Linked DNA regions of Rattus norvegicus. The main gene of each other region encodes a partner of the protein of the gene in region 6 in a complex. Links are inferred from orthologs where the notes say so. Each region holds a gene or a part of one and is shown on either strand. Other genes may lie near its edges.

Region 1 (3,073 bases), on a different chromosome or scaffold from region 6:
TGTGGCAGGCCAGACAGCTGAGATTGCAGGTGAGACACTATGGTAAGGTGTGATGGATTATTTTTTTATTTTTTGGAGCCTACAAGAAACTGTGTCATGGCATGCTATACTGAGAATTAGAAGTTCCTGGGGTCCCCACTTAGCTTTCCTTGGAGTTACAATGAATGTGCCCCTTTAAATTACTCTGTTCATTTATTTGTGAGGGGGACACATGCTACAGGATGCATGTAGAGGTCAGAGGTGATCAGATGACAACTTGAAAGAATTGGTTCTCTCCTTTCATATTTCTGGGATTTGAACTCAGGTCAGGTTTGTCCATGAGTGTCTTAATTCACGAGGATCTCACTTGCCTGAATATGCCCTTTCTAACAAGGAAGCTTTGACTATATAGGCAGCATTAGTAGGGTAGTTTATCCCAGATTGGACAGTGTCTGATGGATCCTGGCAACCCCATGAGTCTCCCTCCTCCAGGACATGTGCTCTATCTTTAATGATGTTTTCTAGTGCTTCTTGGTAACTAGTGGTGACTAAGTCTCCTTGGATTTGGCTACCAGCACTGTGGTCATCCTGGTCATAGGATCTAGCCTATGGCAGGTGTAGGGTCTATTTCCTGACTCTGTGTTTGGGTTTGGGGATGTGGTTGCAGTGAGTGGTAGCCCTGGAACTGAGAACAAGGGCAGTGGTGAACTCAGTTCACTCCCACTGGGCCTGACAGCACTGGACACTCGACCTCTGCAGTCCTCTGCACTACTGGATAGTAGCAGCAGCAGCAGCAGCAGTAGCAGCAGCAGCAGCAGCAGCAGCAGTTCATCTGGACCCAACCCTTCTACCTCCTTTGAGCCCATCAAGGCAGACCCCACAGGCGGTGAGTACTTACTGAGGGGTGGGGGCCAGCAAGGAGAGTCTTGGAGCTGGCAGTTCCTTTCCTGCTAACCTCTGCTCTCTGCCAGCCAGACAAGGATGCCTAATCTCCAGGTCAGTGCCTGTGCCTCTTGCCCGTTTCTGGGACTTCATCCCCCCTCCTGCCACCACTTGGAGCATCACTAAGCCTCACTAATTGAGATTTGCTGCTCTTCGTACTCACCTCACCATTCTGTTTTCCTTTCTACGTATGAATGCCTTTAAAAAGTAATCCTTGGTCACCCGTGTCTGTCAGCTAATCCTCCACCACAGGGCTGTAGCTGTGCTGTTCTTGGTGTAGTACCTGGCCCAGCAGGTTTCTAAGAGTCTAGGCCTGGTGCTTTCTTGGTCTCTTCTGATGCTCTTTCCTCTGTCTTCACTGTCAGCTCTTGGCTTTTCTGCCTCACTGGCATCTGATACTTCCTTAAACATTGGTACTTACCATTTTATATCTGGGGTGGGCCTCAGCTCTAGGGAGCTGATTTTGAGTTTCGGCCTCTACATAGTCTAGATCTTTTACCCAGTCTCCTATACACCTGCCATAGACGACTTGCATATCTGGTGGACACCTCAACTGAACTTAACCATCCTGCTTCCAGTTTGCCTTTCAAGTTCTTTGTGGACTCTTATCAGCTAGCTCTAATCACCAACAGGCTTGAGATACCTCTGTATCATCCCAGTTCTGCTACCCACCTTACATGGGTTAGGTAAAGTTTGTGAAGTCTGTATGGGATTAAAAGATGCGTGCCACAGCCAGCTCTCTATATTTTGACCATTTACAAAATGACCCTCTTTGCCCTCCTAGTACCTTCTCATCCCTCTTACATCTTCAGCACACCAAAAACTATACACCATTTTAATTTTAGATTTATAGTAATCTTTTAGAACATTTTATCTATATCTTATTTATCTACTGGTAATTTCAGATATCTATACAATGTGGGGGTGTTTTTTTTTTTGTTTTTGTTTTTTGTTTTGTCCTTTTTAAGACCGGGTTTCTATGTAGCTGTCCCAGAACTTACTCTGTAGACGAGGCTGGCCTCTGCCTCCTGCCGTGTGGGATTAAAGAATGTATGCCACAATCAGCTCTTTTTGACCATTTACAAAATGACCCCCTTTGCCCTCCTAGTACCTTCTCTTCCATTTTCATGTTCTCTTCATTCTAATTAGCACTCCATGTATGCACAGATCCAAAGAAAAGTGACTGCCTCTTTTCCAGCTAGTTGGATGGCTTGGTCTTGTATAGATACCATAGATGCTTGTGAGTTCACAGTACAATGGCCATGTTGTATCCAAAAGACAGTATTTCACAACACTCTTCCCATCCTATGGTTTGTACAATTTTTTTTTCTATGTTGTCATTTAAATCAAAGAACCAAAACAAACAGCCAAGTTTGCCACCTCCCCATCTATAATGGCTGCGTCAAAACACTGTAAAAAGGAAACAGATTGGAATGTCTGGTGAGTTCTGACTCAGGAAGCAGAACATCAGAATGGCCTGTTGTGAGACTTTACTTATGCTTCCTCAACAAACTGGCCTCTTGGTGATCTCTCTTCTTCAGTTCTACCCATGACTGCCATAGTAGGAGGCCTGGGATCAGAACCCACAGGCCACTGTACAATATTTCTGTATACCCTCTTTAGTTATATTTCCTGAACCTTGGGCTGAGCACTCAACCTAATCTCAGCAGTTTATCAGGAATTTCTGCATTGACTCCTGCCATTTTCTCTAAGCAACATGTAAGCATGAAAATTTAGGAGGCAGTTTGATAAGCATATTAATTAGCAAGGCAACAGTACTAAGTTCTCCCCTAGGATCAACGATCTCTCTAGCTATGGACTTTTGCAAGGTTTACAGTATCAGGCATGAATTATACCTGTGGGGCTGATCTCAAAGCCAAGTAAAGGGGTTGGTTACCCTCCTAAGTTATGCCACTATTGCACCAGAAGGCACATCTTCCCTGGTGGGTTGGTTTATTCCATGCAGGGGCTATTGCCTGTTAAACCCACTAACCCATCCTTTTTATTCTCACAAATGGAATGATCTTTCAGCAATGCAATCCTGATTGGTATTTCTCAGTGTGTAAATGTAGCTGGGGATACAGCTCAGTGGTATGAGAGCATGTCACCAGCAACAACAAAAAGTACTGGGGATGGAGAGATTATGCATTCT
Region 2 (4,125 bases), on a different chromosome or scaffold from region 6:
AGTGGCTCTGCTTCTGTTTGCCTGAGGCTTTGATTGGCATCTCTGACTAACACTTGGCACTTAGTAGGCACTCAGTTCCTGAGTAATGCATGAATATGCTGTTATCACGGCATCTGTGAGACTTTCCATACATGTGAGCTAAGCCAAGCCCGTGTCTTTCTTACCTTGGCAGGATGAGCTACTGAGGGCCCTGGTGAGGCAGTTTGGACAGCAAGACTGGAAGTTCCTGGCCAGTCACTTTCCTGTGAGTATTGCCCCTCCCCCAGGGCAAGGATTCTCTGTAAGCCCTCTCTAGAAAGCTTAGAAAGTGTAGGTGAGGTGAGGCTGGGAGGCCAGGCTTCCTGTACTACGCTTGGGGAGGCAGAGGCAGGTGGATCTCTGAGTTCAAGGTCAGCCAGGGCTACACAGAAACCTTGTAGCAAAACCAATTTATGTTTATTCCTGACTAGCTTACAAATAAAGGAGACTCAGACTGTGGTTATTATACTTGGCTTTGACAATTATGGGGGGGGTCACCCCTAATCTACCCTTCTAACTGCAGGCCTGGGTACTTCCCCAGCGGTGTACCCCAGATACTTGCTGTTTCTCCTGGCCACGTGCTCATGGTTCCTCTCCCCTCCTAAAGGCTTCTTTCTCCTTCTTCTCCCTCTCCCTCTGGTCTCTCCTCCTCCAACCAGGTCACTCCAAATCCACCTACCTCTAATTCCTCCAGTAATTGGCTATAGCCAATTTTATTTAGCCAATAGTTTTAAATTAAGGAACAAGGAGGTTTGCACAACAAAAGCTTATAAACCCGAGACGTCACTGCTAGAATTTAGCATTATAATATATAGCAGTAGACCAAACCTCAACAAAAAATAAATAAATAAATAAATAAATAAAAGGAAAATCAACCAAATAAAACAGGAAAGTTTCCCGGGAGATGACCTCACATAGCTGCCTTAGCGAATCTTAGTCTGGGGCCCAAAGGCAAGTTTGTTTTTCTTCCAGCAAGTCAGGAGCAGCTGGATACTTAGTTCTGGGCCCTGAACTTGAACCTAAGGGGAAGCGTCGTTTGAGCAGACTTCAAGCTCCTGCACGGTTTTAGTGCCACTACACTAACATGCAAAGTCTGTGGATGAGAGCTCCCTTCTACACACACCCTCCCCAGGACTGCTGGCACCAGGAAAGGCTGGAGTATCCAAGGCCACCACTGACTGCTGGGAGTTCCATAGGCATCCTGGGCTGAGTCATCACCCTTCTTTCTGCCCTCTGCCTTTTTCCTTGTAACCTGAGCTCTTTAAAGACTTAAAAAAAATGTTTTTTTTTTTTCTCCAAGAAGAAAGGAGGGATAACTAATAATTTTCACAAAACTTTCATAGACTCTTAGATAGTGCACCTCACACACACACACACATATACTAGGTTCACAGGATGGGAGGTTCCTTTCCACAGGGCCTGAGTTCATCCTTTAAAGTGAAGCAAAATTACTGTACCCATGTTCTGGTATATTGGCCTCTGGTGTGTGGTGGGTGCGTGGCACAGGACACAGCTACCTAAGGTGTGCTTGTACCCTGCCCCCTGAGCTCAAGGCTCAACCAGAGTTCAATCTTCTAGTGTCAGCATTCTTTCTGTTCCTGTTCTAGAACCGCACAGACCAGCAATGCCAGTACCGGTGGCTGAGGGTTTTGAATCCAGACCTTGTTAAGGGACCGTGGACCAAAGAGGAAGATCAGAAGGTCGGTGCTGGCAAAGGGACTGCACACACGGTGGGCTTGCAGGGAATCTGAACATCCCCGTACCATACAGCTTCTCCAGGGACTTGTGTGTGTTTGTGTAGTGAGAAAGGCCAGCTTTGTAGCTTGGCTGGTCTCATATTCATGCTGTAGCATAATCTGACCTAGAGCTCAGAGCGCTCCTCCAACCCCAGCCTTCCTAGTGCCAGGCCGAGTGGCCACCTCACTCCATGAATCATCCAGACAGCTCTTTGTTGTTGGTTGTTTTCCGAGACAGAGTTTCTCTGTGTAACCTTGGCTGTCCTGGAACACACTCTGTAGACCAAGCTGGCCTCAAACTCAAAGAAATGCACTTGCCTCTGCCTTCCAAGTGCCAGGGGCCACCACCATCCGGTGAGACTACCTAGCTTTTTTTTTTTTTTTTTTTTTTGGTTCTTTTTTTTCCGGAGCTGGGGACCGAACCCAGGGCCTTGCGCTTCCTAGGTAAGCGCTCTACCACTGAGCTAAATCCCCAGCCCCGACTACCTAGCTTTTAACTGGTAACCATACCTACCACATAGAACATCATGGACAGGTAATGGGTGGTCCACATAAGAGGCTTGCTTCGCTAGTGACAGCTGGCATTGAAGCTGTGATAATGTGGTAGACACGGTGACACAGGTTAGACCACACAAACACAATGCTCAGATGCCTGGTTTGAGGGTGCTTCACACGAAACCTGTCGCATGCTGGGTAAAGCTCTCTGTCACTGGGCTTCACCTCTCCTCTGATCCCTGCTCTAGGATTATTTTCTTTTTGAAACGGGGTCTCACGTTAGCTTGGGCTAGCCTCAGACTTTCCGTGCAGCCAGAACTCACTTAAACTCCTGCTTCTCTCCCCTGTGGGTTACAGGAGTTTTGCCACATTTGACATTCAGTGCCATATTTCCGTAGTCTCTCGGGGTGGGTTATTTGTGTAATAGGTGGGTAAATCAAGGCATAGAGAGGGATTGACATTCCCCAAACTGCGATGACCCTGGGCTGCTTTTTTTTTTTTTTTTTTTTTTTTTTTCTTTTCTTTTTTTCGGAGCTGGGGACCGAACCCAGGGCCTTGCGCTCGCTAGGCAAGCGCTCTACCGCTGAGCTAAATCCCCAACCCCCTACCCTGGGCTGCTTTTTCGGTGCTTCTTTAACCATGCAGAAATGAAATAGAATATTTCCACACAGAAATTCCTTTTTTTCCCTAAGTGTCTATTCTTGCCTGGTTTTGCCTGTGCACACATGGGAATACACGTGTTATCACACATCTTGAGGCCGTACACCACAGAAGTGCTGAAGGGATATATCCTGCCCTAGAGTATGGTGCGGGCGGACCTCTCACAGGCTTACTGTAGCTCTGTAAACTGCAAAGTGAGACCCACCGGGCTATCTAGACGTTTAATGGAGGGCGATGGAGGCGGGGTGGGGTCCGGTCCTTCACCGCTGTTCTCTTTAAGGTCATTGAGCTGGTCAAGAAGTACGGCACAAAACAGTGGACGCTCATTGCCAAGCACCTGAAGGGCCGTCTTGGGAAGCAGTGTCGTGAGCGCTGGCACAACCATCTCAACCCTGAGGTGAAGAAGTCCTGCTGGACAGAGGAGGAAGATCGGATCATCTGTGAGGCCCATAAAGTGCTGGGCAACCGCTGGGCTGAGATCGCCAAGATGCTGCCAGGGAGGTGAGGCCATCTCCTGGTAGGGAGGTGAGGCCCATCCTGGGATAGAGTGTCCCAGAGAACTGTGATCAGCCCTATGTGGTCTTTAACATCCAACCAGCCAGGTCTTCTAGAGATGTGCATTAAATGGAAATAGGTCCCTCAAGAATGGCCTGTCTAAAGAGACAGTACTAGGAAGTCTGGTTGAACCCTGTTAGGGGGAATCTGATGGGAGAAACACTAGTTTCTGTCCCCAGATGTTGAACCTGGGCTGACTTCTCGAACTTGTGACCTTGGCTTCACAAATGATACTAATGTGGATATGTACCACCATGCCTGGACAGTCTATTTAATGTATGTGAGTGTTTTGCCTACTTGTGTGTCCGTACCATGTGCATGCCTGGTGCCTGAGGAGGCCAGTTGTGAGCTGGTCTGTGGGTGCTGGGATCAAATCAAGATCTTCTGGAAGAGGGAATGCTGTTAACTGCTGCTGGGCTGTCTGTCTCCTCATCCACTGTGATGGTTTCCATCCTGGTTTTCAGCCATGGAGGATTTAACTCCCTGCGACTCTGACCCTCCCTCCCACCCCATTGCCTACAGTATATCCTATCCTAGTTTCCTTTCTGTTGCAGTGATATAAAACACTTCACCTAAAGCAAGTTGGAGAGAGAAGGGTTGACTTGGCTTGCACTTCCAGGTCACCGTTAATCATCGAGGGATAAAGCAAGAACTTGAAACC
Region 3 (4,125 bases), on a different chromosome or scaffold from region 6:
ATAGTAAGACCCTGTCTCAAGAAATAAAAATTAAAAAAGAAACCTAGCAACTTGGGTTTTAGTTAATTCTAGATTAGTCACCCACAGCAGGAATGTAGGGAAGTGAAGGAAGATGTCCATTTGAAAGAACATGGTTAGTGCCTTTTCTGTCCATAACACAGAACATGTAAATAATTTGTTAATAAGTAGATTATGTTGATAAGCACGATGAGATGAACTCGGATTTGTTTGCCTTGTTAAGGCACAGCCTGGTCTTCATCATGTGTGTCATGGCTCACCCTGCATACTGCACTGGCTGACTCTGCCCTTCTTGTTTTCAGTAATTCATGTTTTCTCCATGCTGTTTCTGCTGCTTCTCCTGACCAGAGCTCCCTACCCCCCTCCTTTGGTCTTTACTCAATGTTGATGCCTCTCCCCACAAGTCATCTTCCCACTTCCCACAGAGCATCGTGAATAACTGTGGCCTGGCACTTCTCCCTTTCAAATTGTCTGCTGTTATGTATGTGTTTGATCATTATGCTCTAAGACTCATTGAGGGAAAGAATTTCACCTGCATTTTTATACTTCTGGTCCCTAAAACAGTTCTTGCAAATCCCTGATGCTCATATATTATTAGAACTAATCTGACCCCTCAAGTTTTAGTAAGAACTGAGATGCTGATGATTTAATGTCAAAGGACACATAGGTGTTAGCTAATGCATAGTCTCTAGGAAGGAGAGCTAGAGCTTTTCACAAGTTAATTTCTGGTGTCTAATAGTCACTGGCGTATAGCAGTAATTTATCAATACGTGCTTACTAAATGAATGACATTATAGAAAGCATTCTATGTATTGTTAAGCTCTTAAGAGAAAAATTAAATTTGAAAACATTTCCTTTATTCAGTCTAAACTTTGTTCACTTGAAAGAGAAACAAAGTGATTATTTTCCTGTTTTATTTTTACATAGTTTTGTAGAGGAATCTCTGAGTATAATGGAATATGAACTTTTTCATCAGCCTTTTTCTCTTCTAGTAAACGAAGCAAAAAAGGGGACAAAAATGGGAAAGGCTTGAGACATTTTTCAATGAAGGTGTGTGAGAAAGTTCAACGGAAAGGCACAACATCATACAATGAAGTAGCTGATGAACTGGTGTCTGAGTTTACCAATGCGAGTAACCATCTGGCAGCTGACTCGGTAGGTGGATTGTGGATTACACATGGACTATGGTTCCTAGATTCAGTACACCTATTGGTTTGTGACATGGATCTGAGGAACCAGGGAAGCTTAGGAATCCTCTGAGAGTTTCCTATTTATTTGTATGTATGTGATATGTGGGGGCACATGCATGCCATGACACATATGTAGAGGTCAGAGGACAGTGTTGCGGGTTCCTTTCCTTCTACCTTTACCTGAGGTCTGGAGATGGTACTTGGGTCATAAGGCACTCGTGGGAAGTGCTTTACCCAGCTGGTGCGTGTCGGTAGCCCACAAAGATAAACTTTTTCTTTTCAAGACAAGATTTCTCTGTGTCATCTGCCTATCCTGGACCTCCCTTTGTAGACCAGGCTAGCCTTAAACTCAGAGATCTGCCTACCTCTGCCTTCTGAGTGCTGGGATTAAAGGTATATATATCCCCACTGCCTGGCAATACTATTAAAATATAATATTGTGGTCATATAAATTTTGGGGCACTTAGGAGAGTGAAGCCAGCTTGCAGTATAAGGAGCACAAGGCTAACCCAGTCTACATAGTAAGACCCACCTCTCCCTCCCATGTTAAATCAACAAAAATAGAAAAGTTCAAAATCCTAGGATTTTACCCAAAAAATGATGTTAAATAAAGCCTACAATGTCAAGAATACAATATTTATATTCAATTCCATAATTTAAATTTTTTACTGATTTAGATTTATTTTATATTTCAATGGACTCAGTATTTCCCACTATCCTTTATTATCACATTCAATTGATTTGATTTTATTGTTAAGAACTTCCTGTGTACAAGAACCTCATGATACAAATCAGTGTAAATGTATTCATTCAATAAAAGTTTTATTACCAAAAGAAATGACAAGTTAGCTGAACTAATCAGTGTGCAGAGGTAGTACAGAAATATTTTGGGACATAGACTGAAAACAGCTAGTCAGCACTAGTCCATGAACCATATTCTAAGAGGCACAGTTCACAGACTTTAAAACATGCATCCTTGATGTGTATGTGCATATGTATGTTGTCTGTGTTGTATACACCTGCGAAGGCTCATGCGTGGGTGTGAAGGCCCATGTGTGGGTGTGAAGGCTCATGCGTGGGTGTGAAGATGCCGGAGACAACATTGGGTGTCTTGCTCTGTCAGTTGTCCCCTTATTTTTGTTTGTTTGTTTATTTATAGACAGGGTCTCAGTTTGCATGTCTGACTGGCCTGGAGTCACCATGTCGAACAGACTGCTCTTGCTTCTTCCTCCCAAGTGGTGGGATTAAAGATGTGGTACCATTCCTGGCATCCTCACACAAAGCCTGGGTTTCTCACTGAACTCGAAGCTTAATGATTGACTAGTTTGGGAGGCCAGGAAACATCTAGGATCCACGTCTTCACCGCCCTTGTATTGGGGTTGCAGACGCATGCTGCAGTTGGCTTTTACATGGGTGATGGGGATCCAAACAAGTATAGAATTCTTCCAAATAATTCAGGCACTTTGAATACTTTACCCCTCTATGTATACATGTGTTATAATATTAGTTTTTATATCTTGGACTTCTTAAAAACTTTATGCAGCTGAGATTTACCCTCATCTTTATGTTTTCTGCATCTCCAAGCTTCCAGTTTTAGTACTCTTCCCCCACCCAAAGATGTCCCCGTAGTGTTCTTGTCAACCTAGGGTGGTCTAGAGTTTGTTTCTGACACTCTTTTGTGTTACGGGTATCTTCAGGGCTGGAGCTGTCACCTAGTGGTAGAACATTCTTTTAGCATGCATGAGGCCTGGGGTTCAACCCTCAAAACAACCTTAAAAAAAAAAAAATGAAAAAAAATGTCTTCAGAACTGGTAAGATACCTCAGCTGACAAAAGCATTTTGCCACCAAGCCCGATGACCTGAGTTCAGTCATAAGATTCATGTGATGGAAAAAGAGATTGGGCTTCCACAAGTGGCCCTTGGAAGCTCTCCATGGACAATATGGCAAGAGTTTATGTCCACTGCCCCTCCCCAAATACACACACAAGTAAAGTGTTTTAAAAAAGTTTACCAGTGTCTTTGTTACATATTGACCTCCAAGATGTTTTCACGGGGCATAGAATTTTCCAGTAGTTGGGAGATACTACTGTTAATATCAACAGCATGTGAAGATAACCTTTAAAATTCATCCCTTAATAAAAACATTTTCAGCAGGCTTATGATCAGAAGAACATTAGACGAAGAGTTTATGATGCTCTGAATGTGCTAATGGCAATGAACATAATTTCAAAGGAGAAAAAAGAAATCAAGTGGATTGGGCTGCCTACCAACTCCGCCCAGGAGTGCCAGAACCTGGAAGTAAGTAGGAGCGCTGTCGGATGGTGGCTGCGCTCTGTTGTTTGCATGCGAGACGTTTTCCTTAAGAAATTTATCGTGAGATATTAAAATATTTATACTTGTTCATGTTTGCATTACTGTAAAACTCTGGGGAGTTTTGAGTTGGAAGAGTTTTGGGGATACAGTTTGCAGTTTATTTTACAAAACCTGGAACTGAGGAAGAAAATGTCAGCGAGTGGTTTGGTCATGAAGGCGACGATGGCATATAACTAATCCGGGCACTTGGGAGGTAGGAGGAGGATCAAGGGTCAAGACCATCTCAGCTGTTTAGTTCAAAGCCAGACTGAGTACATGCCCCGTCCCAAAACAGACCAGCACAGAAACCGAACACAAAAACCACAACAACAAAGTTAAATGAGTGCATTTCATTTTTGTTGTTTCTTAGAATGGATCTTTATTTCATTCTAATTTAAATCTAAGTATCTGCCAATGAATTTTTGCTAGGTCATTTAACAAATCTAATCTTGATTAATTATCTTTTTTTTTTTTTTTTTTGGGCAGTTCTGTAACTTTATTTGACATTCAGCAGTTAGTTCTCATCCACATTGACTGTCTGTAGGTTTTTGAATGTGGTAACAGG
Region 4 (4,125 bases), on a different chromosome or scaffold from region 6:
ACATACCGGTATTTCCTCTGTCCCGAAGGCCCCACCTCTCTCTCTCAAGCCATCTGCCAGATCCCACCCAGTTCTCTTTACTCTGCTATCAAACTGGCTCGTTTCGGTTTATCTTGGCCTCAGAAATCTCACTTTTCTCTGCCTGCAGCACTCTCATGATCTGAATGTTACTTCTTCCCTCTTGCGTTACTGTCAACTCTCAGAAGAGAGACCACGCATCCGTTTGAATGCCCATCCGCTACGCAATACCGAAACGGTAGCTTCTTGCTGTGTTTAACACATGGTGACACAGTCACAGCTCGACGCCACAGTCATGCTCATGAGGCCGGGCTGGCATGGTAAAGCGTCCAGGTTCTGCAGTTCTACCCACTGTCAGATGCCTGGGCCGCCTGCTCGCCGGAAGTTTGTTTTCCCCACGTAACAAGGCTCAGACTCCTAAGTGTGTCCTGTGTTCACGCTCACACCTGAGAAGAGTGCTTCCTTCACACAGACACATGCCATGCATCATAGTGTGACTGTTAGCAGGAAAGTGCTGGAAAGTGCCAAGACCTGTAGAGTAGACTCCTGTCATCCCAGAACCTGGAAGGCCGATACAGAAGGATAGCAAGTTTGAGGCCAGCCTGGGCTACACAATGGCATTCCTTCCCCCATTTTAGGAGGCTTTGATTTTGCTTTGTTTTATTTTCTCTTTTTGGCTGAAACAGAATCTTATACAGTCCACGCGATCCTCCTGCCTCAGACTCCTTAATGCTGGGGTTACAGTTCTGTGTACCTACACCCAGCCTCTTGTACATTTCTTATGAGTACTGTGGTAGCTCTATTTAAGAGGAAATTTCCTTAGAAGCTTTAAAAGTTTCCCTTTCTGTTTTAAATAACTTTGACTATTAAAGGAGGGGAGTCTGTGTCTTGTAAAAGATAGAGAAAACCAGGTAGAGTAAGGGGATTTTGTAGACCTGACTGGAAATCAAGTTCACAGTAGTCGAATTCCCCTGTTCTCACCCAACCCAGTTTCTCTGCTGTTGACTGATTATGAACATCAGAGTCACTCCAGGGACAGTTATTCAGTTTGATGTAAAGGTCAAATAATAGAAAACATCAGGATCTGATCAATACCAGGGAAGTCCACTGGGAAAAGTGCTTAGGGCCTGACTTGTGCAACCTGCACTTTTGACTGCTTAAGTAAAAAGGGAAAACTATATCAGTGTAAAACCCAAACATTTTGGATTGTGAAAGAAGCCAGGCAATCTCTAATATACGGCAGAGAGCAACAACAAATTATTATTTAAAAAAATACTTTTTAAGTCAGGCGTGATAGTCCAAGTCTATAATCCCAGGACTCAGTGGCAGAGGCAGACAGATCTTTGAGTTAGAGGTCAGCCTGGTCTACATAGCGAATTCCATGCCTGTAAGGCTACATCATAGCAAGGCCCTATCTCAAAAAACAAGTGAGGGCTGGAGAGATGGCTCAGCGGTTAAGAGCACCGACTGCTCTTCCAGAGATCCTGAGTTCAATTCCCAGCAACCACTTGGTGGCTCACAACCATCTGTAATGGGATCCGATGCCCTCTTCTGGTGTGTCTGAAGACAGCTACAATGTATCCTATACCTGAAATAAATAAATAATCCTTTAAAAAAAAAATCCCGGGTTCTAAGGAGGAGCTCTTTGAAAAGCATTTTCCCAGAGACGCATAGATACACACCTCTGCTTTCTTCCTCTTTGCTGGCGAGGTTGTTCTTCTTGGGGATATTTAAAAATGTCTTGAAAAATGGGTTCATATTTCTTAAAGATCACAGCGGAGACAGTGAAGTTTCTTTCTAATCTTTCGGTTCGTTCTCGGAAGTGTGGGGGTAAATTTGCCATATCTTCCCACTTCTTCATCTTGTTAAAAAATTCAATTAGGCTGATAATAAAAACAAATCGAGGTACTTTAATAATGCAAAGGTGACGTTATGCCAATACAAGTAAATCAAAATCATTTCACTGAATTATATCTGGACAATGACATAAAATCAAAGGGATGCCTTTGGTTAGCTTAATCTCCTACCCTTTACCTTGTCACTCCCACCTCCTGACCCACTCTACTCAGGTTTGGATTCCGTGTGTGTGTGTGTGTGTGTGTGTGTGTGTGTGTGTGTGTGTGTGTGTGTGTGTTCATGTAGCTGACATGTGGCAATGCACACAGAAGACTGAGATTGATGCCTGGTGCCTTCCTCATGACTGTGTCACTTGGATTTTTCTGCTGGGTGTGACAGGAGCTTTTACTGAGTCATCTCAATGACCCTGCCTTAGATCTTTTAAATATTAGAACTCCGATGCTGGAGAGATGGCTCACCACACTTAAGAATATTTGCTGTTGGGTTGGGGATTTAGCTCAGTGGTAGAGCGCTTGCCTAGCAAGCACAAGGCCCTGGGTTCGGTCCCCAGCTCCGAAAAAAAAAAAAAAGAAAAGAAAAAGAAAAAGAAAAAAAAGAGTATTTGCTGTTTTCACAGAGGACCTGGGTTCAATCCTAGCAACCACAAGGTCACATATGACCATCTTTTACTACAGTCCCAGGGGATCTAATGTCTTCTTGGACACCAAACATACACATGGTACCATATACATACATGCAGGCAAAATGCTTGTACACATGAAATAATAAAATGAACCCCCAAAAATTTAAAACAATACTAAAGTTAGAATAGAAACAGACAAAATTTTAATGTGAACATCTTCCTAAACTAGTTCTCTGCCCCTCCCAAATGTAACCCCAATCTTTTGTTTGCTTTTACATTTTATGTAAAATGTATCACACTACAAGTAGCATTTTGCAACTTAGTTTTCATTTAATGTTTCTGAGGCTCATTAATGTTAATACATGGAAATATCTAACAAGTTTAATTACTAAAACAATTCCTTCCTATGAACATTCAATAACTTTCTGCATTCACTCAATGAACAGAGACCGATTACTTCGAATTTTCCTTTAATAAAATAGTGCAGGTCTGGAGAGGGGCTCAGAGGCTAAGAACATTTGTTGCTCTTGGCAGAGGACTGAGGTTCTGTTCCAGCAGCCACACCGCAGCTCACAACCATCTGTAACTCCAGTTCCAGGAGATCCAATGCCTTCTGACCTCCACAGGCACCGGAACACATGTGGTACACACATATACATGCAAACATGCATACACATAAAAAACCATGAATTTTTGAATGTTGCCATAAGCATCTTGGTATGCACGATGTGTGTAGGAGTTTCTTTAGGATCAGAGAAGACGCAGGTCCAATTTTACTACACATTTCACATGCATTAAAACATAAGTTCTGGGCTGGAGAGATGGCTCAGCGGTTAAGAGGACCCGACTACTCTTCCAGAGGTCCTGAGTTCAATTCCCAGCAACCACATGGTGGCTCACAACCATCTGTAAAGAGATCTGATGCCCTCTTCTGGTGTGTCTGAAGACAGCTACAGTGTACTTATATATAATAAATGAATAAATCTTAAAAAAAATAAGTTCTATGCAGAATACCTAATAATTTATATTTATTTACCTTTTAAATCCATGGTATCTTCAAAAGCTTCTCGGTCTCTTTATTTAAACTTAAAGCAATATTAGGCAATAAGTTATAACCTTTAATGCATTACAACACGAATACACTCATGTTCGTACACTGCGATCCTGACTCCGAAATGGTAAAGGAAACCACAACTCAGTTTCTACACTCAGCTGTGTACATGTTAGATGCTCAGAAAATAGTAAACAGAGAGAATTTCCATTATCAGTGTGGTGTCTAAGCTTTCTTAATTTTAGCAGCATCCTACTTTTCAAGCTCTAACATAATTACCTTTGCTCAGAACATCGAAGGATTCTAGTTAAAGACACATAGTTTCCTTCAGCAGTCCCTTTGCTCACAGTAGGAACAGATTTTCTGCAAGCCACATATAAGGCACATGCTAACCAATGGAGATCATTTCCCTGAAAGAGAAAAAAGAGTTTTAGCTAATGACTTCCGTGTGCTTCAATGGAAAACTTCGTGCATTCATATCGAAAGTGATATTTCTATGACGGCCCTTGCCCACGGCCTCTTCTAGTATGTGACATTGACATTCGTCCATGCATGGTACTGTCTCTGTTCCTTTACC
Region 5 (4,791 bases), on a different chromosome or scaffold from region 6:
GGAATTGTCCAGGGGGTGTCATGTCTACTCTGGATAGCTCCAACAGTCAAGGTCGTATGTCTGTCGCAGGGACCCATGCCTACCCTTTCAGGCCAGGTGATTTCCAAATCCCTATTACCCTCCACCCAGCCCATAAGGTCCACATTTGCTCACCAACGCCCCATCTGGCAGCCACATGTTTGCACATAAGATCCCTGTCCAGCCCTTTATGTTTTTAGAACCCCGGGTCCCTAGGAAGCCATATCTATCTGGCCTAGGGACCTGCCTGTAATCTTACCTGAGAATGCATCCTACCTGATTCTCTATTCCTTGAGGAGCCCAGAGATTAAACCTATCTACCAAGAATGGGGTTGTTGTTGACCTAGCCACCCACTGCTCTCTCTGGCCTCCTGACACTCCTCCTACCTCTCCATCCTCTGGCAGAGGGGGCAGTGGTGAGCCAGGTGAGCGCTCGCGCTCTCGCACTGTAGGGCTGTTACGCATCCAGGCGCGGCAGATGGGGTACAACGGTGTGTTCTCACTGAACTGGGCCAAGTCCACACTCCGGTCAAACAGCTTGATCACATACGTATCTGGGGCGGTGAGGCAGGTGACAGATGAGCACCCTAGTGTGGTCCCTGGCTCTATGCCCACCCTCAGTCCCCGCCTACTCACTGGATCTCTGAGGACCCCCCTCAGCAAGCCCATCGTCCATCTCCCTTCTCTTCTTCCTCCGCTGGTGAGGGAAGCGGGCCGATGGCCTGTATGGTTAAGGTGAGTGTCAGGCCCCAAGCTGGGGACTGGGAACCTTTTGGTGGTCTGGGGTCCCAGCCACCTTACCTTTTGCCCGTGGCAGCAATGGAACAATCCCTGCGAGGAGAGACATGGTGTCAGCAGGCCGAGCCTTTAAAACATCTGTTCAACACTGCCCCCCAAGGCAGAAGTGATATAGTTCAGTAACAGAATGTTTGCCCACACCCTGGGGTTCTATCTCTAGCACTAGAAACAAAAATGGGCACCCTGGGGATTACTGGTACCCCTTGGGCCTTGTATCCCACCAATACCCCACCCTCTCAAAGTGTCAGTCACTTATTCAACAGGTATGTCTACGTAAGATGGTTGGGACTTAGCAGAGGGAAAAACCTAAACTCTCAGGTCTAAATCCCATCAGAATCCCTTACTTGTTGTGTGTATCCGAGAGGGTTTTCCCAGCCTCTTCATCCAGGCGTTCCCTGGGAGCAAGAAAGCACTACTGGCTTAGGGTATCAAGGACCCAACCTGTGATGATACTGAGTCGTTTTCTCATGGGACACACCATGGAACAGTTTTCCCCCTAAGGCAGCCTCCAGGCTCCCATCCAGATCCCCCCACAACCCCCAATCAGTCAGTCCAAACAGTTCCCACCCTTGTGGTTCCCCAGACTGGACCAGATCCCAACCTGTCCATGTGACTCTTCTCCAGCAGACACTGAAGAACGGCATCCAGCTGGTTCCGGGCTTTGGCCATCTCCATCTCTGAGGGCAGAAGTTAGGAATCAGCTCTGTGTGCACCTCCCACATCCACTGTGGGAGGCGATCCTATGTTCTGTCTGGTCCAGGTACTTGGAAAGCCACTTTAGTGCCACTCAGTGGAGAGACCAACTAAAGACAGAACCAGGGCGACAGAGCCTTAGGCAGGGGTCATGGGTGTGGCTGCTCACTGCTCCATTTTCTCTCCAACACCTACTCAAGAGTCTAGGATCTGGACACCTTCCACGGGACAGCCCTTAGGGTCTTTCCACCGAGGCCTCCCTCTCTAAACCCACTCTTCTTCCTGGATTCTCACCATGAGGAGTGACTCACCCGTCCACAGGCTCCTGGACTCACCATGGGTACTCCTCTCCCACCCCAGTCTCAGCTCTCTTGGCTTGCAGGAGTCTGTCAATATATTCCCTCCCCACCTTGCCTTTTGCTCCTAACCAGCGCCTAGCCTCAGTTGCCTTTTCTGATCCACCTCCTTTTATAAAGCAGACAACAGAACCTTCCTAAAAGAGGGCCAAGCCTAGCTTAGTGACATAGGTCTGCTATCCCAGCACACTGGAGGCTGAGGTAGGAAGATCAAGAGTTCAAGGTCAGCCTCAGCAACCAAAGATCCTCTCTCAAACAATAAGCAGAACAAAGAAAAAATACAAAACAGACAATGTGGCTTTGATCTTTGCCAGCACAGAACCCTCAAGGATTCTACAACCCTATTACACACACACACACACACACACACACACACACACACACACACACACACATCCCCACTTCTTCACTATGTAGCCCTGGGTTGGCATGTTATTTGCTAAGTAGGTCAAACTGGCCTTGACTTCAGAGATCAGTCTGTCTGCTCTCCATGCCCTGGGATTAAAGGCATCTGCCAACACAAACAGCACTCTCTCCACTAGCAATTATTCCACTCAAGTTTAGTTGTTGGACTATAAGTTTGTTTTCTTTTTTGCATTTTGGGGTGCAACTTTACCAACCCACTCTTTGTTCAAAAACCTCTCTAGATTACCCATTTCCCTCAAAGAAAAAGTTGAAAGTCCCTTCCTGGACCCCACAGATCGATGTGTCTTCCCCTCCCACCTCTCTGCCTCCGTTTCCTCACTGCCCCAGCCGCCCTAACTTCCCTGCTGCCCGCTTTGTCCCCACACATTGCCACTCCTCCCACCTTGTATATTTTCCATTCATCACTCTACACGCTAAGGTTATTGGAATGCAATGACTATTGTGTACTTGAGGGACACACCACAATTGCTGATTCATGCCCTCTGTCAGAAATGGGGAAACTGAGGTAGAAAAAGAAAAGAACCCTTTTTAGAGAATCCTGTCAGATGGGCTGCAGAGAGATGTCGCACAGTCCACTTTTTCACGATCCCCAGTCCTCACCTGATTTCTCCACTTTCACCTTTACCGGGAACATGATTTGGGTCCAGGTCTAATGCGTTAGATCAGAAAAACTTGGAGGAGGCGGGGTTCAAAAGCGAGGCGGAAGGCGAGCAGGAAAAGGTCAAAGGTAAGTCTGGGTACCACTGGTCCTCGGGCCTGAGCAGTGTCCTGCCGCGACTGCCTTGGCCAGCACTTCCCTTTTTTCCCTTCTGAAGGCGGGCCCCTTTGGCAACTGCTTTTTCCCACTAGTTGATGAAAACGTCAATTTCATTTGCTGGCCAATTGACAGCCTGTACTATTGGCTCCCAGCCTTAAGTTCCACCTTCCCAAGGCCCTGTATCCGGAAACAAACCAACGACAAGCCAGGCACCTGAGGGGCGGGGGAGAGAAGGAGGAGGACTGTGATTCAAACTTCCGAGGCTCAAGAAGTAGGCAACGCGCCTGCGCCGCGCAGGGCACTATGGGAAACAAAAGGCTTCTTGGGATTTGTAGTGTTGTATTTTTTTTTCTTTTATCTTTTTTTCGGAGCTGGGGACCGAACCCAGGGCCTTGCGCTTGCTAGGCAAGCGCTCTACCACTGAGCTAAATCCCCAACCCTGTAGTGTTGTATTTTAAGTAGCGCCAGTAAACCTATTTACAGCTTTGAGCTATCATAGTCACTGAGATCCCTCACGGGAAGACCAATCTAGAGATGCACTGGCTCCTTTCTTACAGAGAGCTCGCTAGGTGTCTTTTTAAGCAAAATCTCATTCATTTAAGTATTAAAAGTGCTGGGTACTCATTCAGATAGTGAGGACACTGTAACGAGAAAACTGGGCAAAAATTCTTGCCGATAATGTATCTTATTGTGTAGACAAGATAGTCAATAAACAAGCCAAAAATCCGGTTAAATGTAGTAGGCACACAAAAATATGCAAAAATACTCATCAAGGTAGGGACTGAGACTTTATCTATCATTATTTATTTATTGCCTCACTCTGGCTCAGTCTATGCTGAAACTCATTATGTATGTGACCAAAGCTGTCTTTGAACTCCCAGAAGGCCTCCTGCCTCAGCCTGATTAACAACACCAATACCACAACCTGCTGGGTGTATGCTTTTTTTAAAAACTTACGGGGCTGGGGATTTAGCTCAGTGGTAGAGCGCTTGCCTAGGAAGCACAAGGCCCTGGGTTCGGTCCCCAGCTCCGAAAAAAAAAAAGACCAAAAAAAAAAAAAAAAAAAAAAAAAAACCTTACTGGGGGATAGGGACATATCTGTAGAGGTCACAGGACCACTTACAGTATTTGAGGATCAAATGCAAGTCAGGATCAGCAGCAAGTGACCTTACCACTGAGTTATCTTACCAGACCTCTGCTGAAATTATACTGAGACAGGGTGTCACTACATAGCCCTGGCTGCCTGGCATTCACAGAAATCCACCATGCCTCTCTGCTTGCCAAGTGCTGTGGTTACAGACATGAGCCACCAAAATCATGACACTTTGCATAGGAAGATCAAGATGCCAGAAAAATGGCTCACTCTCTGGTTCACTTGTTAAGCTCCGTAGTTACGGGGACTCACATGGTGTCCTATTTTGGTCTCCATGGGCACCACATAAAAGTACACACACACACAAGCAGAACTAAATCAAGAATAAAAAATAGGAAAGTCAAGGAAGCTTTCCTAAAGAAGCTCCTGGATATTTCTCTTGTTGAAGACGCCTCCTTCGAATTCTTCCTTGGCAGAGAATACTAAGGCCTAGAACAAGGAAGTGATTACCTTGCTTGGTTGGTCCTGCTGGGAATCGAACCTAGCATCCTCCTCATGTTAACAAAGTGCACAGGCAGTAAACTACAGCCCCAGCTAAGAAAGCTGTATTTTTAAATTCACAACTACCAGTACAGGATAGCAGCCCTCCA
Region 6 (4,125 bases):
AATGTGGAACAAAGAATTATAGACAACTAAGGGAAGCTAAGAGTGGGAGAAACTCAATGAGGTTTTATATACATGTATATAGAATTTTATATTAAATAATTACACCAACTGGTGGTTGTCCAACACCAAACTCAGGTCAGCTCTAAAAAATCACAAACATACAAGTAACATCATACCAATTAGTAGGTTGTATTCATATATTTGGGAACACACACACACAAACACACACACCAGCAATTAAAGAAAAAGAGACTGTGAATTTGAGTGGGCAAGAGAGGATATATGAAAGGGCTTGAGTGGAGAAAAAGGAAGGCAATAATTCAACTGCATTACAATCTCGACAAACAAACAATGTGTGTGTGTGTGTGTGTGTGTGCACTTTATTTGTTTTTTCAAGACAGATTTCTCTGTGTAGCCCTGGCTGCCCTAGAGCTCTCTCTGTAGGCCAGGTTGGTTTTGAACTCAGAGATCTACTTGCCTCTGCCTTCAGAGTGCTAGAATTAAAGGCATGTGCCATCATTGCTCAGCTCAATAAATAAATAAATAAATAAATAAATAATTTAAAAAAGACCATTTCAGACTAAAATACTATTTTCAAAAAAAAAGGGGAAAAACCCTCAAAACAATACTGGACTATAATTTTTTCAAGTAATTTATTTTTATTTTATGTGCATTGTGATTTGCCTGCATGTATGTCTGTGTTAGATCTTGGCGTTCTAGACAGTTGTGGGCTGCCATGTGGGTGCTGAGAATTGAACCCCGGTCCTATGGAGGAGCAGTTAGTGCTCTTAACCACTGACTGACCCATCTCTACAGCCTCCTAGACAATTATTTAACAGAACTATGTAATCTTCTTTTCCTTTTCTGTCAGAGTCAAGCATCTAGCTATTAGCTTGGGCTGGCTGTGAACTCTTAAGCACCCTGCTGAGCATCTCAGGCTTGCTTCTTTTATCAGCCTTATTTAATCTAATTTTCAAAAGCAATCACTCAAATAAGCATGTGGCACAAATCTTTAATCCCAGCACACAGAGGCAAAGGCAGGCAAATCTCTGTAAATTCCAAGCTAGCTTGGTCTACATAGTAAGTTCCAGAACAGCCCTACACAGTGAGACCCTATCTCCAGAAAAACAAACAAACAAACAAACAAACAAACAGACAAACACACAAACAAACTCATTACATTTTTCAAGTCAGACTATTCAGAAAGACTGTTACATATAATGCTTCTGTAATTTAGACTTAGATTTCTTAGTGTCTAATCCCTAAGTACTTAGTAAGTAACAGTAATTTCTTATCTAAAACAGGAAAACCAGGTAACTCAAATTATTTTTGGGTATTATAATTTTGTTTTAAGAATTGTTGGAAATAAATAGCAGAATCCTGAAAACCACACAGTGGTTGAAAGAATAATATGTAAAGATGTTTGACCCACAGAAAGACTCCAACCTTAACAACTCTGAAGACATTCAGTTTCCAAGCAACAAAAGCATTTGGAGCAACTTACCACCTGGATAAGGAATTCTACTGGAAAGCCTCCTAACGTCTCCGTGTCAGAGCCAGAAATTTTACTTCTCCAAGGCGACTGTCCTAGCAAGGGATCACCATCCTGAAAGTCGAAAGGAATCATCTAATCACTGACTGTGTGTAAAGTGAACACTCTGTTTATTAAAAGCACATTAAAAGCCAGTACTGAGGAAACTATTTTCAGAACTGGAGAAACTATTTGCTTATTTTAACAGCTGCCAATCAGTTCAATGTGATGCAGGAAGCTCAAGTCCTGAAGTAGCTGTCATGTGTGCTACACGAGAGCACAGACTGCGTTCACAACAGTGACATTCCTGAGGCATCTCTGCATTACTTACTGTAATTGGTGATTGGAGAGGAGGGGTGTAATGTAACCGTGGGGGGGTCATAAAAAACCGAGAAGGCCGCTGTTTCTGTCCAAAGGCAGCGATTGGCATTGTCTCATGAGGCTCATTACTCTTGAAAGAAGAGAATAATCCATAAAACTTAAGGAATTTATAAGCACTGTATATCAATTTAAAATATAGCAGTCCAGAGTGCAGTTATAGTCCTAAAGTTTATTTACTTATTTAGGAGCCTATAGGGTCTTCCACATGCTAGGCAAGCACTCACTACACTGTAATTACTCATTACTCCAGCAGTCATTTTATTTATTTACTTAAAAAGAGTGTAAGACTGGGGATATAGCTCAGTGGTTCAGTGATCACTAACCCTGGATTCAAACCAAACCCAAAGGACACTCACAAATTCGAGTATGAACACACACATGCACACTCATGAATGCACACATAATTTACACCTTACAAAATCAAGACTGATAAGTACCTCAGCAGTGTATTGGAATATCAAAACACCTAGATTCTAGTCTCCAAGTGACTTATAAACAAACAAAAACACAAACAAACGAAACCCCAGATTTGGAGCTTTGAATAAGTTAATGGACACTGTGGCAATTTCATCATGGAAACGTCAAGTGTGGGGCTGCTCAGTGGGTACAGGCACCAGCAACTAAACCAGAAGACCAGTCTAAGAGTCACATGGTAGAAGAGAAATGACTCCCACAGGTTGTACTTACTTGGACCTCCAAACAAGTGTTGTGGACTGTGTGAGTATGCATATACACATGCAAACACACACACGCACACACACGTAAAAATGTAATTTATAGTCAGGTGGTGGTAGTGCACTCCTCTGATGCCAGCACTTGGGAGGCAGAGGCAGGCAGGTCTCTGTGAATTTGAGGCCAGCCTGGTCTACAGAGTGAGTTCCAGGAAAGCGAAGGAAACCCTATCGAAACGACCCCCCCTCAAAAGTAATTTTAAAAGGTGAAGGTACTGATTCTACATGAATATGAGAATAAAACAGGAGAAAAATATGAAAAGTCCAAGAAGTCACTTCCTATTTTATATTTAGGATGAAAATGTGTATGTTCCAAGATTATTTCATCAGAAACAATCCTGTTAGCAAGGGCTGCATGGTTAAAGCACACGGAAGGGACCCTAGCTTTTGGAAATGAGACTTAAGTACAGTCTTCTCTAGGGATCTAGTCTATAGGGCTGGGAAATCCTAAGGCTCTCTTCTTTGAATTCAAATCTTCTCTCATACAAGACAATTTAAAGAAAACACTAAAATAATTTAAAAGCAAAAAATACAAACACACTATAAAACATTTTAATTAAGTTTAATAAAATGTTACTCACAAGAACTTCATAGTCAGGAATGGTGTGAGTCCCAAGCCCTGTCCTATCGAAAGTTACTCTGTAAGTAGCATTAAGAGTATCCACAGCATCTATCTGACCAGTAAACAGACCATCGTGAATGCCACGTAATCGTGCTGAAAGAGAAACAGGTGTTCTATTTAGGACACACAAACACTTGCGAAATAAAACTATTCTAAGCATATAGTTGAAACCCTTAAAAACATAGTGTCACTGTGTACTAGTTTAACATGACTATGTACTTTATCTTAGGGTTAGAGAATAGTTTTTTAAACGAAAACAAAATTAAAATGATTCTTAATTTGACATATAAGTGAAATCATATAGCTACCAAACAAACCTGATAAAGAAAAGACCACCATTTAGAGTACAAACGCCTAAAAAACTAGCAAAACAATTCTGGATATCAGACTTCCTTTTGTTTAAAGATTTATTTATTTTATTTTATGTAAATGAGTACACTGTCGCTGTCTTCAGACACACCAGAAGAGGGCTTGGATCCTGTTAAAGATAGCTGAGACCCACCATGTGGTTGCTGGGAATTGAACTCAGGACCTCTAGAAGAACAGTCAGTGCTCTTAACCACTGAGCCATCTCTCCAGCCCCCTGGATATCAATACTTTTAAGCAACATATTAGAAATAGTTTATTTTCGGGGTTGGGGATTTAGCTCAGTGGTAGAGCGCTTGCCTTGGAAGCGCAAGGCCCTGGGTTCGGTCCCCAGCTCCGAAAAAAAGAACCAAAAAAAAAAAAAAAAAAAAAAAAAAAAGAAATAGTTTATTTTCAACTTTAGATAGGTCTCATGTATATCCCAGGCTGCTCTCAAACCTACAAAGCAGCTAAGGATAACCTTGAACTTTTGATCCTCCTGCCTTTGCTTGAAT
Region 7 (4,709 bases), on a different chromosome or scaffold from region 6:
AGTGCATGAAGACACACCAGCTCGTATGAGGCCTCTCTAGCTTCTTCCCACTGCAGGGTTCTCATGGCCCAACCTGCACACATGCTGTCCCCATGAACGGTCTACAGTACCACAGGAAAGACCCCGAGTACCTGCAGGCACAGACCACCCCTCTACCACTGCTCGTCTGCCAGCTCCTGCCTGCCCCATTCCATAGCCCACAGTCCACAGGGAGCCCAACATACTCGATGCTCTGCCTGGGCACCAGCAGGGGCAGAAAAGCCCCTAAGCTATTTGTCTTCTGTCTGCCCTTTCTGAGACCTAGAGCGTGACTTTTGCCCCTCTGTTCTCGCCAGCGTCATGGCCTTCCGAGCCCCATGTCGACAGTGCACTTTACAGCCAGAGTTCGTCTTAAGCATCAAGTGCTTACACAGCTCCAGTGGTGCCTCTTTCCTACCCTTCAGCACAGGTTACAAAGTCCCTTTCCAAACCCCAATACTGCATCCTACTGAAAAAGCACAGGGAAGGCCCAACCCTGCAACCCCCACTTCCAGCCAGAGAACAGGGGGAGCCGCTTCGCCTCTGCCCAGGTCTGTGCGCACTTGTGGAGGGACAAAGCAGCAGCGCTCTTACCCAGTCACAGCACTGGCCTCACCATACCACAATGGCTAACCCCAAACCAGCTGGCCTCACACTCTCCACTGGATAGGACATCCTGACCACTTGCCATCATGGTGTCTACCCACCCACCCACCCCTTCCCCAGGGACACAGCACACAGGAGTGCATGATGCAAAACTGAGGTGACAGGACTTGGAGCATGCTGACTCACTGAAGATCACTGAAGAAGATGCAATGATCCCCGAAACCACACCAGGCCATGGGGTCTCAACGAAGGCACGGGAGCCAGTGCCCTGCTTACACACCGTTTACCAGACCTAGCTACTTTGTGGGCACGCACTGAGCGGCACGTCTCTCCTTAGGCACACACGGGGGGAAGAGTCAGGACGTGGAGGCAGGCAAACAACAGACATAACGAAATCGAGCCCCACGCCACATACAGCTGTGACTTCAGGTGACCTACACACGGTCTCTCAGGGTGGAACTCGACTCCCAAGAGCAGGTCCAGTGCTTGATGACCATAAGACGGACACCGTCTGATCCAGGTGGGCCACTAGGCATGACTAAATCCTTGGGCCTCTAAGTCAGGACAAGACTCGGTACCTGCGCCACAGTTTCAGTGCACTTGGGTACAAGTCTAGCTGATGTGGTATTATCTGCCTGCATTTTCAGGGCTGCACAGAAAATTACACTCATCTAATAGTCAAAGGACAGTGAATGCTGAAACACTGGCACAGGCACGATCAGTGTTGGAGGGAGTTATAAAGTAATACTGCGAACATGTATGTGACCAAAATCACAGACTGTATTTTTGCCCCCTAAAAGCCTAACTGTCAGTACCCATTTCAAAAAAGAAATTTCAAATGCTCAGTAGCTTTGTAGTAAATACGAAGCTTAACCAACCAGCGTTTCCGTGTTTCATTAACCACCAAACGTCATCTTTCTGAGAGAAAAATGTGCCCAAACAAGTAGTTGGGATTCAACCCATCAAAGTGGAATTACGGTCTTACATACTACATAAAACAAGTTAAGTTTCATGCATAATGCATCGTAAGTTGCATGCTGACAGCTCTCCTTCGTGGAAACCCACTAGCAAAATACCCCCCTCACACGTTCATTTCAACTGGGAGATGCATTCAAACACAAATTTTGTATTCAAGCGGTTTAGATAGATTAAAGAAAAATCCAGACATCATCATCTTAACCACAAAGAAAAAAAAAAAAAAAAACGTGCCAGGCTTCAGATGACAAAGAACATTTGTGCGGAGGGGAGGCACCCACCTACTGACTGGCCACCCCTCACCTCCATCCCAGCTCCTGCCTGTAAAATGTCTGAGCAAACCACTGCCACGCAGGTATGGCCACTCTCAAATAAAGGGAGAGAACTGCAGCGAGCTATGCTAACATGTCTGCAGCATGCAGAACTCATACTTACATCTTTTGCCATGTTACCAGATCCAGGAAATCAAGGCTTTAACTGCGTACCCTCCACAGAAGAAACCGGACTTATCTGGTAAAAAGGAAGGGGACGAGTAATGAATGAGAATGAAAAAAAAAGAAGTTTAACGCACATCGCATTTCAAAGGAAACATCTCCCCACCAGCACGAGGCAGGCCTCCAGGCAGCAGGGGCCTTTCTTGCACAATCCCAACAGGAGAGCTAGCCAAGCAGGTCCCACACAGGGATTTTAAGTCACCTCTCCAAATGGAAATGCTCCCTGCGGGCACCAGCAGCTCCCACCCGCAGAGGGGCCAGACCCCGGCCCCTTGGCGGAGCGAGGCGCAGCCGTCAGGCTCACCCCACCTGGGCACGCGGGCCCCGCCTGACCACAGGCCCCACCGAGTCACAAGGCCCCCCACTTAGGCACACGACACTGCGTGGTTCTGCCCGGGCTGCAGCAGGCCCCGGGGCTGCCCAAGACCCCGAGGTGCCGCCGACCACTCTGACAGGTGGGCTCCCGGCCGCCCGGCCGCCCCACCTGTCACTAGGCCCGGCCACCAGCCTCGCGCGCTGGCGCGGACAGAGCCGGAGGGTGGCCAGGACCCCTGCCTGCCGCCCACGCCACGCCGCGTCGAGGCCGACTCCGGGCTGAGGCTGGGCGGCGGGCGGGATGCGACCGGACGCGGGAACCGGGCTGGGGCGGGAACGGGGCCGCGCGCCCAGCCCGCGCCCTCCCGCCGCGACCGGCCGGTGCCCCCGCCACACCTGGCTGGCCGGCGGGGCGCGCGGGGCGGACGACGGGGGCGCGGGGGCGCCGGCCCGGAGGTCCGGCCCTGGCGGTCCCTGCCCTGAGCCAGCGGCGCCGGGACGCGGGCTCACCCTGGGCCGAGCGTCGGGCCGGCGTGACGTGCGCGCGGCGCGGTGACGTGGGCGGCGGCGGGCCCGCTCCGCGCAGCGCGCCTGCGCGCCTTTTCGCGCCTTCGGCGCCCTCCTCCTCCTCCTCCTCCCGCCGCTCATCTCCCGCGCCTCTCGCCGGTGCTACCCGCCCTGGGATAGGGGAGGGACCTGTGCGCGCGTGCGCGTGTGGCGGCCGCCGACGCTGAAAAGCGCTGCGCGCGCCTCCATGTGCGCTCGGAGAGAGGCCACGTGTGTGCGCGCCTCTGTGTGTGTACACCAAGGGCCAACTGTATGCATGTCTGTGTGCATGCGCAGGGAGAAGAGGGCCACGTGTCTGCCTCTGTGTGTATGTGTGTGTGCCACGCGCGCCAACGGTGAAAAGTCTGTGGTGTGTGCCATACCTGCATGTACACATAGGGAAAGGATGATGTGTGCACACCTGTGTATATCCATAGTCTCGCTATACAGACACGTGTGTATTCATGGAGTATGAGTCGTGTGTGTGCATGCCTGGACGTATATATAGAAGAGAACCCTCTGTGCATACAAATATGGATACCTATGTTTAATGCCTGCACACTGAAAAGAATAGGTGAGTGTGTACACACAAGGGAAAAAAATGACCAGTTCTGAGCGTGCTTTAAAGTACCTGCATGTGCACCACAGGGGGAGGAGTCTTGTACATTTATACAGAACAAAGTAAAGGCTGTTAGGATGCATATTGGACAATGCAGAGACAAGATCCCCCACCTCTGCTCAACTATTGACCTCCACAGCCACAGGGCCTGAACTTGGGCAGTCAGAGGGAGCAGCCTGAAAGACAGGTGTGTGTGTGTGTGTGTGTGTGTGTGTGTGTGTGTGTGTGTGTATGTATGTGTAAGACTAAAGCTGGAGAGCCTGGGAGAAGAATAGACTGTGGCTTGCAAATCAGTCCAAGTGGTTCAGATAAAATGACCCAACTTTTCCCAAGCATATGGGACTAAAGACCAGAGCGCTGTTCAGTACTATCAGACAACTGTTAATGTGAGCGACCAAATTTTATTCTGAGGGGTGGAGAAGCCAAATTTGACTCCCAAACAGATCTTTCTCTATTACCTAGCTTCCTTGGTCAGACGAGTTAGCATTTGACTGAACAGTCCTCAAGCTGCTGTCCTGTTTAGAACTCTTCCTCAGCTGCTTTGAGGAAGCAACACTGTAACCACAGCAGCTTATTGCTAAAGCACAGCTACCGTTCCAGAAGGCAATACCCAAGGCATGAGTATCTCAATAGCTTGCACCAGACCTCTTACCATCACAAGCTTTAGTAAGCTCTAGTAACCATCTTCACCCAGGATGGGAGGGGGTGGGGGTGGGGTGGAGGGGGAAGCATCTGTAATGGCTGAGCAGAAAGGCTGTGATTGGTGCAAACATCCTTGCCACACCCCATTTCTGACTATATAAACAAGCTATTTGGCTAACTTTTTCAGTAAGCTGGGAGAGTCTTTCATCCAATAGGAACTCCTCTCAGGTGACGGTTTACAAGCTAGACTGGTAATATGAAGAGATAAACCACAGAGCATCAGCAGAGCAGTGACAGCAGCAAGGGGGAGTCTGAAGAGTTCTGGGGAGCAAACAGGTCCAGAGCAGCAGCACACAGGTGGTGGGGCGACAGACAGAAATGGGAAGACACTTAGAGAAGGTAAAGTGCCAGGACTGAAGAAGGCTATGAAGGGGCAGAGACGTGAAGACGTGGGTCCCGGCCACTGGAAGAATTCCAGGGAGCGGAGCGGGCCA

What was found.
Region 1: Lin9 (region 6) and E2f4 share a complex: the UniProt entries of both Homo sapiens proteins name them as parts of the DREAM complex. The link is inferred for Rattus norvegicus from reciprocal best matches to the Homo sapiens genes LIN9 and E2F4.
Region 2: the proteins of Lin9 (region 6) and Mybl2 are in contact, whole or in part, in a crystal structure (PDB 6C48), measured with the Homo sapiens proteins. The link is inferred for Rattus norvegicus from reciprocal best matches to the Homo sapiens genes LIN9 and MYBL2. Residues at the interface, in NP_001353174.1 of Homo sapiens: Lys356, Gln385, Arg386, Tyr388, Ala389, Thr390, Val392, Leu393, Leu395, Glu396, Asn399, Leu402, Asn403, Leu406; in NP_002457.1 of Homo sapiens: Trp663, Ala667, Cys668, Gly669, Gln674, Met677, Gln678, Ala681, Arg682, Leu684, Leu685, Arg687.
Region 3: Lin9 (region 6) and Tfdp2 share a complex: the UniProt entries of both Homo sapiens proteins name them as parts of the DREAM complex. The link is inferred for Rattus norvegicus from reciprocal best matches to the Homo sapiens genes LIN9 and TFDP2.
Region 4: Lin9 (region 6) and Rbl2 share a complex: the UniProt entries of both Homo sapiens proteins name them as parts of the DREAM complex. The link is inferred for Rattus norvegicus from reciprocal best matches to the Homo sapiens genes LIN9 and RBL2.
Region 5: the proteins of Lin9 (region 6) and Lin37 are in contact, whole or in part, in a crystal structure (PDB 7N40), measured with the Homo sapiens proteins. The link is inferred for Rattus norvegicus from reciprocal best matches to the Homo sapiens genes LIN9 and LIN37. Residues at the interface, in NP_001353174.1 of Homo sapiens: Lys99, Ala101, Ser102, Gln103, Lys104, Ile105, Gly106, Arg108, Leu109, Arg110, Leu112, Leu113, Lys114, His119, Trp121, Cys122, Ile123, Glu125, Trp126, Phe127, Thr227, Leu237, Phe238, Leu272, Ser273, Asn274; in NP_061977.1 of Homo sapiens: Tyr95, Ile97, Leu99, Phe100, Asp101, Arg102, Val104, Leu106, Ala107, Phe109, Ser110, Glu111, Asn112, Thr113, Pro114, Leu115, Tyr116, Ile118, Cys119, Arg120, Trp122, Met123, Asn125.
Region 7: Lin9 (region 6) and Tfdp1 share a complex: the UniProt entries of both Homo sapiens proteins name them as parts of the DREAM complex. The link is inferred for Rattus norvegicus from reciprocal best matches to the Homo sapiens genes LIN9 and TFDP1.

Annotation. Positions count from the first base shown.
Region 1 is NC_086037.1:50,087,044-50,090,116, forward strand, and holds part of E2f4 (transcription factor E2F4), read left to right. Parts: coding exon 1-29; intron 30-646; coding exon 647-865; intron 866-3,073. UniProt on the Homo sapiens protein: Transcription activator that binds DNA cooperatively with DP proteins through the E2 recognition site, 5'-TTTC[CG]CGC-3' found in the promoter region of a number of genes whose products are involved in cell cycle regulation or in DNA replication.
Region 2 is NC_086021.1:172,131,136-172,135,260, forward strand, and holds part of Mybl2 (myb-related protein B), read left to right. Parts: intron 1-172; coding exon 173-244; intron 245-1,625; coding exon 1,626-1,718; intron 1,719-3,189; coding exon 3,190-3,410; intron 3,411-4,125. UniProt on the Homo sapiens protein: Transcription factor involved in the regulation of cell survival, proliferation, and differentiation. Transactivates the expression of the CLU gene.
Region 3 is NC_086026.1:105,751,122-105,755,246, forward strand, and holds part of Tfdp2 (transcription factor Dp-2), read left to right. Parts: exon of another isoform or gene 1-1,010; coding exon 1,011-1,173; exon of another isoform or gene 1,174-3,359; coding exon of another isoform or gene 3,360-3,362; coding exon 3,363-3,506; exon of another isoform or gene 3,507-4,074; coding exon of another isoform or gene 4,075-4,125. Other genes in the region: large ribosomal subunit protein eL31-like, read right to left, coding at 4,075-4,125. UniProt on the Homo sapiens protein: Can stimulate E2F-dependent transcription.
Region 4 is NC_086037.1:32,089,551-32,093,675, forward strand, and holds part of Rbl2 (retinoblastoma-like protein 2), read right to left. Parts: intron 3,959-4,125; coding exon 3,828-3,958; intron 1,902-3,827; coding exon 1,701-1,901; intron 1-1,700. UniProt on the Homo sapiens protein: Key regulator of entry into cell division. Directly involved in heterochromatin formation by maintaining overall chromatin structure and, in particular, that of constitutive heterochromatin by stabilizing histone methylation.
Region 5 is NC_086019.1:94,937,347-94,942,137, forward strand, and holds the start of Lin37 (protein lin-37 homolog), read right to left. Parts: upstream 3,099-4,791; 5' UTR 2,926-3,098; coding exon 2,892-2,925; intron 1,494-2,891; coding exon 1,418-1,493; intron 1,212-1,417; coding exon 1,161-1,211; intron 850-1,160; coding exon 820-849; intron 741-819; coding exon 655-740; intron 573-654; coding exon 406-572; intron 1-405.
Region 6 is NC_086031.1:94,930,479-94,934,603, reverse strand, and holds part of Lin9 (protein lin-9 homolog), read right to left. Parts: intron 3,974-4,125; exon of another isoform or gene 3,893-3,973; intron 3,359-3,892; coding exon 3,225-3,358; intron 1,983-3,224; coding exon 1,863-1,982; exon of another isoform or gene 1,862-1,862; intron 1,607-1,861; coding exon 1,505-1,606; intron 1-1,504. UniProt on the Homo sapiens protein: Acts as a tumor suppressor. Inhibits DNA synthesis. Its ability to inhibit oncogenic transformation is mediated through its association with RB1. Plays a role in the expression of genes required for the G1/S transition.
Region 7 is NC_086034.1:82,900,063-82,904,771, forward strand, and holds the start of Tfdp1 (transcription factor Dp-1), read right to left. Parts: upstream 3,105-4,709; 5' UTR 2,919-3,104; exon of another isoform or gene 2,296-2,918; intron 2,110-2,295; 5' UTR 2,047-2,109; coding exon 2,035-2,046; intron 1-2,034. UniProt on the Homo sapiens protein: Can stimulate E2F-dependent transcription.